Macaca mulatta: one gene and its partners. The protein of the gene in region 1 interacts with the protein of each later gene in a pairwise test. Links are inferred from orthologs where the notes say so. Each region holds a gene or a part of one and is shown in the gene's direction. Other genes may lie near its edges.

Region 1 (3,745 bases):
CCTGCCTTTCTACACTATGTTATTACTAATTGAATCGAGTTGGAATAAACTAGTCAGACCTGTATGCACAATGAGTCAAATGGCTCAAATCAAAGGTTTGAGAAGTCTCTATGAGCCAGGTGCTTGAGTTGTGTGATGTTAAGACTTCAGGTATACCGGCACACTTCATCCAGACTTGGCTCATGCAGTCCCTACAGTCTTAGAATGGAATACCATATAACACTTCTCTCCCCATCTAAATCCCAGTTAGGGTTTAAGACTCAACTTCTCCACACTCTGACCTCGTCCTTAATACCAAGGGCAGTGAGGAGTCTATACAACAGGATATTTAATAAGTGATTACGTTCTGCCGAATGTTTTTTTTACTGTCTGCTTAAATCTAGCCAAAGTTTCAACAACAGTAGGGAGACAGGCTACTCAAGCGCCAGTCGAATGGAAAGGGGTTGTTAACAGCCTATTATAACCCTAACGTGGGAGCCAGGACGTCCAAACCTGGTTAACAGAGCCCACAGAGTTCATAGGGGAAGGACTGTGACCGAGTCAACGTCTTGTCTGAACAAAAAGACCCACCAACGAGTGAAAGAAGACCTCCTGGGAGGGATAGGGGGGCGGGAGAGGGAATTCAAGCCTTCTTAACAACAAAAAGCAGCTTTCTTTAGCCCACTCCACTTTCCAGCTACTTAATTGCTACCCCTCCTGTGTGACGATTCCCTGCCCAAAGTAGGAAAAAAAGAGGTCCAAAAGGATATAGCATCAACTTTGCCCTCTGACCTAGGAGCGAAGACTCACCAGTTTCATAATGGACTTTTGGTGGTTCAATAGCAGTCACTGAACTCCTCAAACGCAGGAAGCGTCTTCCGGTGCAATCTCCGCCACCTGCCAGCCCAGAGCATCGCGGGACTTGCAGTCTTTCATTCTCACGTCCCTTCCAGGGGAATCATAGGAAATGTAGTCTCCCCTCCAGGCACCATGGGAACTGTGGTCGCCTTTCCTTTTCCTCCGTTTCCTCTGCGGACGCCTCCTTCCGTCAGCTCAAATTCATCCCCGCCGCCCTCTCCACCCCAGCATGATATCATGTCCCCATTACGCGCCTGGAGCCCATGGTGTTCTGGGATGTGTAGTCCCGACGGCTCCGGGTCCCCTTTCCCCTCCTCCCAAAGGGAAGGCGGATGGGCACGGGGCTTGCCGGGAGTTGTAGTTCTCTTGGGCCTCTAGGCGCCGGGCTCCGCGCTTTTACTCGGGGGAGGCAGGAACTACAACTCCCAGGGACGCCGGGCGGCAGCAGGTGGGAGCGGGGCTGTTGATATCAATATGGCGGTTGTCAGCCAGACAAAGACAGTCAGTCTGATGTGATTGAGACAAGGGAGGTTTTTCAGGGGGAGACTGGGAGATAGGGGCCTCCCCTCCCCCTTCTCCTCTTCCTGCGCCGGCCTCAACCCCTCCCCAGTCCCCTCCCGACGGGCGCCCCACGCGGAAGACACCCCTCCCCCTCCCGTTTTCCCTCCTCCCTACCTCAGCCCTTCGTACTGGGACGTTGGGGAGGGGGCTCTGCCGGGCGGAGAGAACTCAGCGAGGATTCTGAGGTGAGTCGAGCGGTTTTGAAGCCGGACAACCTCAAGTCTCTTTCCTCACTTCTTTCTCTTCATTTAAAACAATTTTTTTTGGAGGGGTTTTGGGGAGGAAGTGAGCGGACGCTGGGGATGGGTCTCGTTAGCGGCCGGATTGAGAGGAGGGAGGAAGCAGGGGGCTTCCGAGTGGGTGATCCAGACGCGGGCTGTGGGGTGGGGCAGTTCGTGGGGGCCGGTCCTGGAAAGGCGTCGACTGCCCCCCAACTCTTCTGGTTTCCTCTACTACGAGCGGAAGGTTTGAATCCTGGAGGTGGGGTCTCTGGTGTGGAGTTCGAGAAACTGTGAGGTGATTTGCAGGTGTGTTGGTTTGTTTGGGGTGTGGAAGTGTGTTTAAACTGTGTGACGTGTACTTGTGTGCTCTGCTTGTTTTGGAGCGGTGTCTGTAGATGAGAAGTTAGACAGCGCGAGTCCTCGCTCGCTCTGGGCCTGGGCTGAGGGGCGGGCGTGAGGTCCTGGTGCTGGGCATTTGGGCTGGCGACGTGGTGCGGGGCAGCCGGGCTTAGCAACTCGCTCGTGTCCCGTCGCCCGCTCACACTCCGCCACTCGCCTCCGCCCCCTCCCCTGGACGAATCTCCACCCCAAACTCCAGCCACGAGAACTGTAGAGATGGTGTGATGTGGAGATGGGTTTTTTGCATCCTCAAGTCGGTAGATAGGTGGGAAAGGAAAAGTGTTTCTTAATATTTTATTCCGGAACCGTGTTTTGGTTACACTATTGGGGCTACTTTGAAAGGCGTCCTCCACCCACCTTCACCCCGAAACCGTAGGTAGAGGTATCTTGTCTTCGTGTGATTAGATGAATAATTGCTGAAGATTCGGGGGGGCCTGGGGTGGGGGTCGGGAGTGCTGGATTGTGTACGCGTCTGTGTATGTCTACTAAAGAGACGGAATGTCTGCTGTGTATCTTGAGATAGGGCGACTTATTTTCGTAGTAGGAAGAACTGTTGGAAATTATTTGCGGGAGAGGGGGTGCGCGGAAAGGCGCTGCTTGTATTTTTCTTCTACTCCACCCTGTTCTGTCTTGCATTTGCCTGAAAGCTGGTGGAATGGAACAGTGAAGAAGCATTGGGTGAGTAAAGGGAAGAATGCAGTTGGCATTAAAGATAACACTGTGTAAAGTTGAATGGTATAAAGTGATTACTGCTTTTATTTACACTGAAGCTTAAAAAAAATCACCCATGTATCATATAGGGTAGAGTGATGTGACTAGCTCATTTCTCTGGGATCCTGCAGGTATAGAAACCTCTGGCTTCCCTCTTCCTTCCTTCCCTCTTCCTTCCTTCCTATCCTCCCTCCTTCCTTCCTTAAGTCCTTCCTTTCTTTCTTGGCTTAGTACGACATTTCTCATTCTGATGGACGTAATACCGCCTGTGTCTTTTTGTTTAGTTTGTGCTAATATGGTTGTGCTTTTTGTGGTTTTACCATAAAATGCATCATTAAATGCATTTATTATTTTGCATTTATGCTGCAGGTAATTATCACATCAGGATTGCAGTGCTTTGCATTAAACTTATTTTAAAATTGTACAATTAAGTTGCTTGATCTAGTTGAATTATGTTTCTAAGTCAAAGTTGGGAAATTTGAATTCTAAATTTTTTTCAAATTTCAATTAGAGTTAAAAAGAAAAGGATTGCAATATATTTCTCACAGTTTTTAATATTTAATAACACACTAGAAGAATTTAAGATCACATATTTTGTACTTCCTTGTTAATTTCTTCAATAATTCTTATGTGACAATTTTTTTAGTGTAACGGATTTTTAAAATAAAGAAATTGGCATAATTTCTATTTCAACTGTTGAGAGTTGAATATATTCCCCAAACTTATCAATTATTGAATCTGCCACCTATCATCAGTAAGGGACCTTTAGATTCTATGATAACTGAAAACCACATTGATAGTGTATAATTTTATGGTATGTCCTCTAACCATTTATTTGAAATTTTTGCTGTTGGTCATTCACACAGATAAGGGGGACTGAAAGAATGAGGTAGCATGTATACTTCAATTGACCTGAATAGAAAAAAACTGTGATTTCTAAATCTTCAGATGTAGAATATACAATATGTTGATTCCAAACTAAGCCATTAGTTTGTGATAGACCAGGATTTTCAGAA
Region 2 (3,625 bases), on another chromosome or scaffold:
ACAGTGAAGCTCCTGGTTGACCCTGAACCACTGGCCAGGCTCAAGGCAGGATACCCAGAATGGTGACAAGCCTTTTCTCTTGCAGAGTTATTCCCAGAACCTGTGTCTTTTGGCCAAGTGTTTCCTTGACCATAAGACACTGTACTATGACACAGACCCTTTCCTCTTCTACGTCATGACGGAGTATGACTGTAAGGGCTTCCACATCGTGGGCTACTTCTCCAAGGTCAGTGCCTGTCCAGGCTGTCCCTGTGCCCTATCCTGAGCCAGGTCCCTTCCCTGACACTCACCTGCCCCCCTTTTCCAGGAGAAAGAATCGACAGAAGACTACAATGTGGCCTGCATCCTAACCCTGCCTCCCTACCAGCGCCGGGGCTACGGCAAGCTGCTGATCGAGTTCAGTGAGTATGTGTGCTGCAGCCAGGGGGTAGTGCACCCATCATCGGTGCCCCATAGGCAGATGTGCCAGGCTACCGTGATTCTCAACCGTGGCTGTGCAGCCCGGTCTCTAGGGGAGCCAGCCAGAAATAACAGTGGCACTCTCCCAGAGTTCTCTCCATTCAGGCTGACTGCCCTGCTTATCTGGGGTAGGTTCTCAGCCCCACAGTTTGCTCCTTGGCCAGGGTTCTAAGTGCCACTCAGCTTTCCCCAAATCTGACTTACATGCTCCTGCCTGGAGCCATGGGCAGGTTAGTGAGCCGCTGGTGCTCATGTATCTGGTAACCGGTGTCACATGATACAAGTCCTTGGGCAAGGACCAGTGGTTAATGTCCCCAGTTGTCGCCTGAGCCGTGCAGGCAGGTGTCCAAAATGCTGTCAACAGATACACGTAAGCATGGAATTCTCCCTTGCTCCTCGTGTCCAGTGAGGTCAGTCTCTTAAAGCCAGAAGGGACTCTGACCTTCATCACACATGAGCTCTTCAGTGCCCTCCCCAACCCTGAGGCTCCTTCTCCTTCTCAGCCTCTTCCCCATCACCCCGCATTCTATCTCACCACTCACTTGGAATAACTAAGCTCTGACCTGAGAAAAGAAGAGGAAGTTCTAGCTGTTTGCCTGGTGAAGACACAGAGGCTTTACTTGATCAAGGTTATGGTCCATTCGAGAAATGTATTGGTTAAGTGATGCCCAGATGGGGTCACATCCTCAGAACTTCTCAGCCTGGTAGCACAAGTGGATGCTTGAAGAAACTCAGTCTTGGAGCTCAGACTGCAATGGAGATGGGATGTGGGTGGGACTACCAAGGGGCTAAGGTCCATTGTGAGGGTGAGGAAGGGCTTCTAGAAGTCACAAACATCCCAGGTCCCTGGTGGGGAGAATGAAGACACTGCCCAAGAGATGTGAAGCCACTCAGGGCTGTGCAGGGCCAGGATCTCACTGGGGACTGCCTCCCAGTGCGCAGCTATCAGCAGGAGTTGGAGGGAAACAGCCATGGTGGGGGTCAGTCACCTGGCTCTCAGGAATGGTCTCCCCAACTTGGGAAGCACTTTGGTGCACCTTTTCTCCTTGCATCCTCACAACCACCCAGTCAGGCCACTCAGGTCTTAACAGCAGCTGACACTCCCAAGATCCCAGCTAGGAGGACTGATTTGACTGAGAATTCAAGCATTCTCAGGCCTGGATTAGAGACAGGAATCTGTCCCCACTTCCTTCCTTACATGCCCAGACATGGAGCCTGGGATGGCAAAGGAAAATTGGAGGCACTTTCTTCCCCTGAGCCATTTTCCCTGCATCCCCTGCCCATAAGCCTTCACTGGCCTCTGATCACCCTCGTGGTTGACTGCAGCTGCTCCTCTCAGTGCTCTCATGCCCTCCACTGTGCTCAACTCCCAGGGGAAGAGTGAATACTCGTTAGTTCTTCCTGAGGGAACTGAGGCGCAGAGAGGCGGAGGCCACAGAACTGCCAAGTGGCAGGGCCATGATGGGAACTAGGCAGCCTGCCTTGGCGACCTGTGTTTTTAAATGTTGCTTATGTTCATCTATGACCTCTTACTCACCCTCTCCTGCTCCATTGCTTTAGGCTATGAACTCTCCAAAGTGGAAGGGAAAACAGGGACCCCTGAGAAGCCCCTCTCAGACCTTGGCCTCCTATCCTATCGAAGTTACTGGTCCCAGACCATCCTGGAGATCCTGATGGGGCTGAAGTCAGAGAGCGGGGAGAGGCCACAGATCACCATCAAGTGAGCCTGGCGCTGCCTACCTGGGGGTACATGGCATGGCCTGTCTGTTCCTGGGCTTTCTCACTCTCTCCTGGGGCTCCTGGGGACAGATGAAGGTCCTCAGGGGACCTGACCTTTGCTCTCCTACAGTGAGATCAGTGAAATCACCAGCATCAAGAAGGAGGATGTCATCTCCACTCTGCAGTACCTCAATCTCATCAACTACTACAAGGTAGGGAGGCAGGCAGGGTGGAGACAGGTGTGTGGGATGCAGAGTGCAGGCCCCTGTCCGCTGGCCACTTGCTGAACCCATCTCCTCTGCCCAGGGCCAGTACATCCTCACACTGTCAGAGGACATCGTGGATGGCCATGAGCGGGCTATGCTCAAGCGGCTCCTGCGGATTGACTCCAAGTGTCTGCACTTCACTCCCAAGGACTGGAGCAAGAGGGGGAAGTGGTGACCAGGCACTGCCCACTGCAGTGCTAAGACAGCAGGACTGGGGCTGATAGCCCACCCCGCCCTCACTGCAGCTCCCACAAAGCACTCTAAGGGAGATGGGGCTGAAAAGCTCGAAAAGGAGGGGACAGGCCTGGCAGGGCCCATTGGTGCCCGGCACCAAGGCGAGCTCAGGGCTCAGGCTAACTCCAAGGTCAGCTGGCCACAGGCCCAGGCCTGCTCTGAACCAGGGATCAGAGGGAGCCAGGCAGCTGTGTACAGTGAGATGGGGGGTGGGGGAGCTCTGTACAGAGGGCTGGTGGTTGTAAAAATTTCTTTTGTAAAGTAGAAGTTGGGGGTGGGGTGGGTGCTGGCTGCAAAAAATTCTGGCTTCTCTTATCCCCATTGCCCACGGCAATAAATTGTTTCTATATGCCAGAGCCATGCAAGGTTCTTGGGGGAGAGGGGTCCATGCTGGCTTAGGGGCTCTAAGGTGCCCGGACTCACAGGTGCTGTAAAGAGCTCCTTTATTGGGGTGATGGAATCAGTGGTTCCAAAGAGCTGGTTTACTGCTGTGAAGGGATCGCAGCTTTGAATTTCAAGCTCTGGTTCTCAGTCCTCGGGCACCTGTGCGTGAATCTGCAAGAGGAGTCGCCTCTACTGTTGGACTTGTAAGGCAGGGCGGCAGGCTGGCCCCCAGACCCGGGGAAGGACCCAGCTGTTCAGAATAACCCCTTCTAGACATGGCTAGGAAGAGTGGTCGGGGAGCTACGCTTCCCACGCACTACCCAGTAGAATCCTCCAGGCTTCGTCTGCCCAATTGTGCTCCACAGCCCATCCACCCGGGGACAAGACGGAACTCCTCATCTACTCACCGCTGCCGCAAGACTGGGCCAAGTTAGGGCCCCACGCACTTTGGCATCCGGGCCAGGGATGGTCTCCAGACCCCACAAGGTGAAGTGGCTGAAGCTGGCAGTGGCTCCAATGAAGCGGTCCTGAGGAAGGGGCCTGGCTCAGCATCGGGACTACAG
Region 3 (3,715 bases), about 120 Mb from region 1:
CAAGCAACACAACCCACCCTCCTGGCCTAGCCCACTCCTGAAGCCTCACTCAGTCTCACCTCAGCCCCTACGCAATTCCTCTCGGTTGTCAGGCCTCCATCGGCGGGGGTCGAGTGTTGTGTGTGACCCCAGGTCTCCAGCAAGGTATAGTGGGAGGGAAGCATCCGGGAGAAGAGAGGTGGATTGGGCTCTCCCTCTCCCCCATACCGCCACCCTCCCTCACGCCCATATCCTGTCCAAGGCTCTTCCCGCGTCTGCTTCTGAAATCCCTCCACATCCCTCCACCCCATGTGCCCCACTCGTTGCACAGGAGCAGAGAGAACCGCAGAACACACGTCTACGATTATGCCACTCTTCAGATTTACATCTTGCAGCAACTTCCCACTGCGTTAGAACGGAAGTAAACCTCCCAACTCACAGACCTCACCCGAGCCCCCACGTCCCGCGTCGCCGGCCTCTCAACCGACGGTGCCCTGATCCTCTCGGAGCGAGCGCCGCGGGCTGCGCCGGGTCCCAGGCCTGCGCCTCTTCCCCATTTCCCAGGGGTCTTTGCCGACCACCCTCCTGCGCCACAGCTGCTCAAGTTCTGTTTACTTGCTTTTCCCTCCCCACCAAAAGGTGAGCCTTGAGAAGACACACCCTTGTGTAGAGCTTTGAACTTTTATCCGGAAAGGTGCCGGGCACATAGTCGGTGCCCGGGAGCACTTGCTCACAAGGTTCCTTCCGAGACCGCCCTGCAGCCTCTTTCCGGATCCCCCAGGCACCCCCGACCCCGGCCTCGCCCCACCCTACCCTCGCCCCAGCCCCGCCCTGCCCTCGCCCCAGCCCCCCCCTGCCCTCGCCCCAGCCCCGCCCCGACCCTGTCTCAGCTTCGCCTCGGCTTCATCCCGCCCCAGCCTCGCCCAGCCCCTCCTCTCCCCTCCCCGCCCGTCCCCTTCCCGCCCCCGCCCCGCCTAGCCCCGCCCCAGCCCCGTCCCAGCTTCGCCTGAGCCAGGTCCCAGCCCCGTCCCACCATCGCCGCGCCCCAGCTTCATCCCGCCCCAGCCTCGCCCCTTCCTCTCAGGGCCCCCGCGCCCCGCCCCGCCCCGCCCCGCCCCGCCCGCGACCCTGCGGAACCTAGAGTCGCAGGCGCCCTCTTGGAGGACGGAATTCGACGTCGGACTCCGCCTCGCGTAGTTCCGGTGGCGACTGCGGAGCATGGCGGTGAGCGGTGTGGAGAAGACGCGCGGGTGGCTGGGCGTCGCACTGTCGGTGGCCCTCCGTGACCCTCGTGCTGCCCCCCTTTCTCCAGGCCCTAGGACATCTTGCCGGGGAGGCAGCGGCGGCCCCAGGCCCGGGTACTCCCTGCGCGTCCCGCAGACACCGGCTTCCCGGCCTGGTTTCCAGCGTCCGGAATCCCTCCACTGTCTGTCTCTGCCCAGGGCAACCCACGAGCAGTAACGCCGACACCAGAGCGCACCCGTTAGGCGATGAAGGCAGTGCAGCGTCGAAAAAACAAAAGAATAAGAAGAAAACCCGGAACAGGGCCTCTGTGGCAAATGGAGGCGAGAAGGCCTCAGAGAAACCCGCCCCAGAAGAAGTGCCCCTAAGCGCTGAGGCCCAGGCAAGGGCGGGCGTCATTCAGGAAGGGTGGAATCCCCTAGTGCGAATCCACGGGCACATGTGATCTGGGGTCCGCAGAGTTAAGGCGGGGAGGGGGATGGGATGGGGCCAGGCGCAGTTTTGTGTCCCAGTGCCCTCTCACAGCCACTTCCCCAAATCCCTCACAGGCGCAGCAGTTGGCCCAGGAATTGGCTTGGTGTGTGGAACAACTGGAGCTTGGCCTCAAGAGGCAGAAACCCACCCCAAAACAGAGTAAGGGACCTTTCTATAGAGTTGGGGAATGTGAACAGTGGCACCGCCTGGCCTGCAGGTGCTGGCAGAGGTGAAGTTGTTTCCTTTGCGGTGGGGCGGTAGGAGGTCAGTAGTAGAGGTTTTCACTAGTCCTTTGTTTTTATTCGCAGAAGAGCAGGCTATTGGAGCAATCCGAACCCTGCGCAGCAAAAGAACGCCCCTGCCCCGGAAGAGGCAGTTGATGCACTCCTTGTTTGGAGACTATAGGGCTCAGATGGAAGCCGAATGGCGTGAGGCCCTGCGGGCTCTCAGATCTGGTGAGGAGCTAGTAACTGGTTGATTTAGGAAGGCCTAATTTAAGGAGGAAGTGCCTAGGGGGTGAAAGGAAGAAGGCCCAGAGCAACAAGGCTGGTGGGGGAAGGAGATGAGCTCAGGGAAGCCTGAGGGAACAGGGAAAGAGTAAGGATGGACCTGTCTCTCCTTTTCCCAGGACTGAACCTGGGAAGCAGCGGGGAGGTCATGGGAGGAGCGGGAAAGAGTGTGACCCTGTGTTGGTCCTGCTCCTGGCTTGGGGAAAGCTGCGTTATGTCTTTGTGTCTTGGCTCTCTCTACTGGCAACGAAGCCATATCCCATAACAGTTTGAGTGCAATTCCTGGAGCCAGATGAGCTAGGTTCAAATCCTGGATCTACCACATAGTAGTACTAACACCTTTTGCAAACTACTGAACCTCTCTAAATGGGCGGTGATAGTAATATCAACCTTACAAATTTGAGGAATTAGTTAATTTATTCAAAGTGGTTAGAATTGTATGGGCAAACATAACTGTACAGGTAATGTTAGCTGTTGTTATTCAGTTCTCACATACGCTGCTTCTCTCCCCTGACAGCTGCTTATTTAGCCCAGGTGCAGCCTGTAGATGGAGCCACCAGAAAGAAGAGCCGAAGGGTCTGCAGGCCTCGCCCTATAGGGCGAGCCAAAGCCACTCTGGACACTCCTGATGAAGAGTTTAGGTTCAATTTCTTTTAGCTTCTCCCCTGACCTGGAACATTCCCCCTCCCTTGGGGTGGTGTAGGGGTTTGTTTTGAGTGCAGAGCCTTTTCAGGACTTCTGTTGGGAGAGAACCCTGGGGTTGGTCTGTCCCTGGCTGGTCCAAGTATTTGGAGCTGTTGTGAAGGTGTGAGACCATCAGATAGGCAAAAGACCCCATTTGTTTTGTGATGAAATGTTCTCTCTTTCAGAACAGAGAGAGAGGTGCGTTTAGAAAATGTACAATAAATTGAAGTGACTGTTTGAAGTATTGTAGAAAGAATATTGTACTCAGTCTTTAGGATTAGATTAAGTGGCTGTTGGTAACAAAGATTAGTGGAGAAGCTATATAATTATACACTGTTTTTCACTTTTGAAAGGAATTCCTGTCAAATGGTTTAGTGCTTAATGCTGTTATGTCACATTGCCCTAGTCTTTATTTTTGATAAAATTGGATAACGAGTGAAAGAGTGTGCTGACCAGCTGTGTTAGAGGAAGTACAGAAGACGGCAGGGGTCTGGTTCCCTGGGTCCAGTCCCTTGCCTCGATCCTTTGTCCATGTTGCCTTCATTCCTGAGCAGGTGTCATCCTCAGGGAACCAGCATGGCAGCCACCAGGCATGGCTGTCTTCTCAGGAGGAAGGAGCTTCTTGCCCTAACAGTTCTGGCCTGAGACCTGGATTGAGCCTCGGCATGTTGGAACCGAACTGTTGATTCCCTCCTGGGCAGGGGTTGCCGCGAAGGATTACCGACACGAGATTCACAGCAGAGAGTTATCTATTACTAGCGCGCTAGGGTCCCAAGCTCTAAGTTGGCCCTGGGACCCCGACTGCTTGTTACAGGTTGTTTATATAG

What was found.
Region 2: the proteins of HMBOX1 (region 1) and KAT5 interact in binary tests that used the Homo sapiens proteins (3 or more experiments, as listed by UniProt). The two-hybrid records come from large-scale screens. The link is inferred for Macaca mulatta from reciprocal best matches to the Homo sapiens genes HMBOX1 and KAT5.
Region 3: the proteins of HMBOX1 (region 1) and C8H8orf33 interact in binary tests that used the Homo sapiens proteins (3 or more experiments, as listed by UniProt). The two-hybrid records come from large-scale screens. The link is inferred for Macaca mulatta from reciprocal best matches to the Homo sapiens genes HMBOX1 and C8orf33.

Annotation. Positions count from the first base shown.
Region 1 is NC_133413.1:30,643,715-30,647,459, forward strand, and holds the start of HMBOX1 (homeobox-containing protein 1), read left to right. Parts: upstream 1-1,299; 5' UTR 1,300-1,583; intron 1,584-1,974; exon of another isoform or gene 1,975-2,390; intron 2,391-3,745. Other genes in the region: INTS9 (integrator complex subunit 9), read right to left, coding at 790-798. UniProt on the Homo sapiens protein: Binds directly to 5'-TTAGGG-3' repeats in telomeric DNA. Associates with the telomerase complex at sites of active telomere processing and positively regulates telomere elongation.
Region 2 is NC_133419.1:8,673,640-8,677,264, reverse strand, and holds the end of KAT5 (histone acetyltransferase KAT5), read left to right. Parts: intron 1-85; coding exon 86-226; intron 227-307; coding exon 308-401; intron 402-1,050; exon of another isoform or gene 1,051-2,019; coding exon 2,020-2,179; exon of another isoform or gene 2,180-2,308; coding exon 2,309-2,390; exon of another isoform or gene 2,391-2,484; coding exon 2,485-2,619; 3' UTR 2,620-3,032; downstream 3,033-3,625. Other genes in the region: RNASEH2C (ribonuclease H2 subunit C), read right to left, coding at 3,207-3,233, 3,470-3,589. UniProt on the Homo sapiens protein: Catalytic subunit of the NuA4 histone acetyltransferase complex, a multiprotein complex involved in transcriptional activation of select genes principally by acetylation of nucleosomal histones H2A and H4.
Region 3 is NC_133413.1:155,452,383-155,456,097, forward strand, and holds C8H8orf33 (UPF0488 protein C8orf33), read left to right. Parts: upstream 1-1,174; 5' UTR 1,175-1,197; coding exon 1,198-1,203; intron 1,204-1,291; coding exon 1,292-1,642; intron 1,643-1,769; coding exon 1,770-1,854; intron 1,855-2,003; coding exon 2,004-2,150; intron 2,151-2,721; coding exon 2,722-2,861; 3' UTR 2,862-3,126; downstream 3,127-3,715.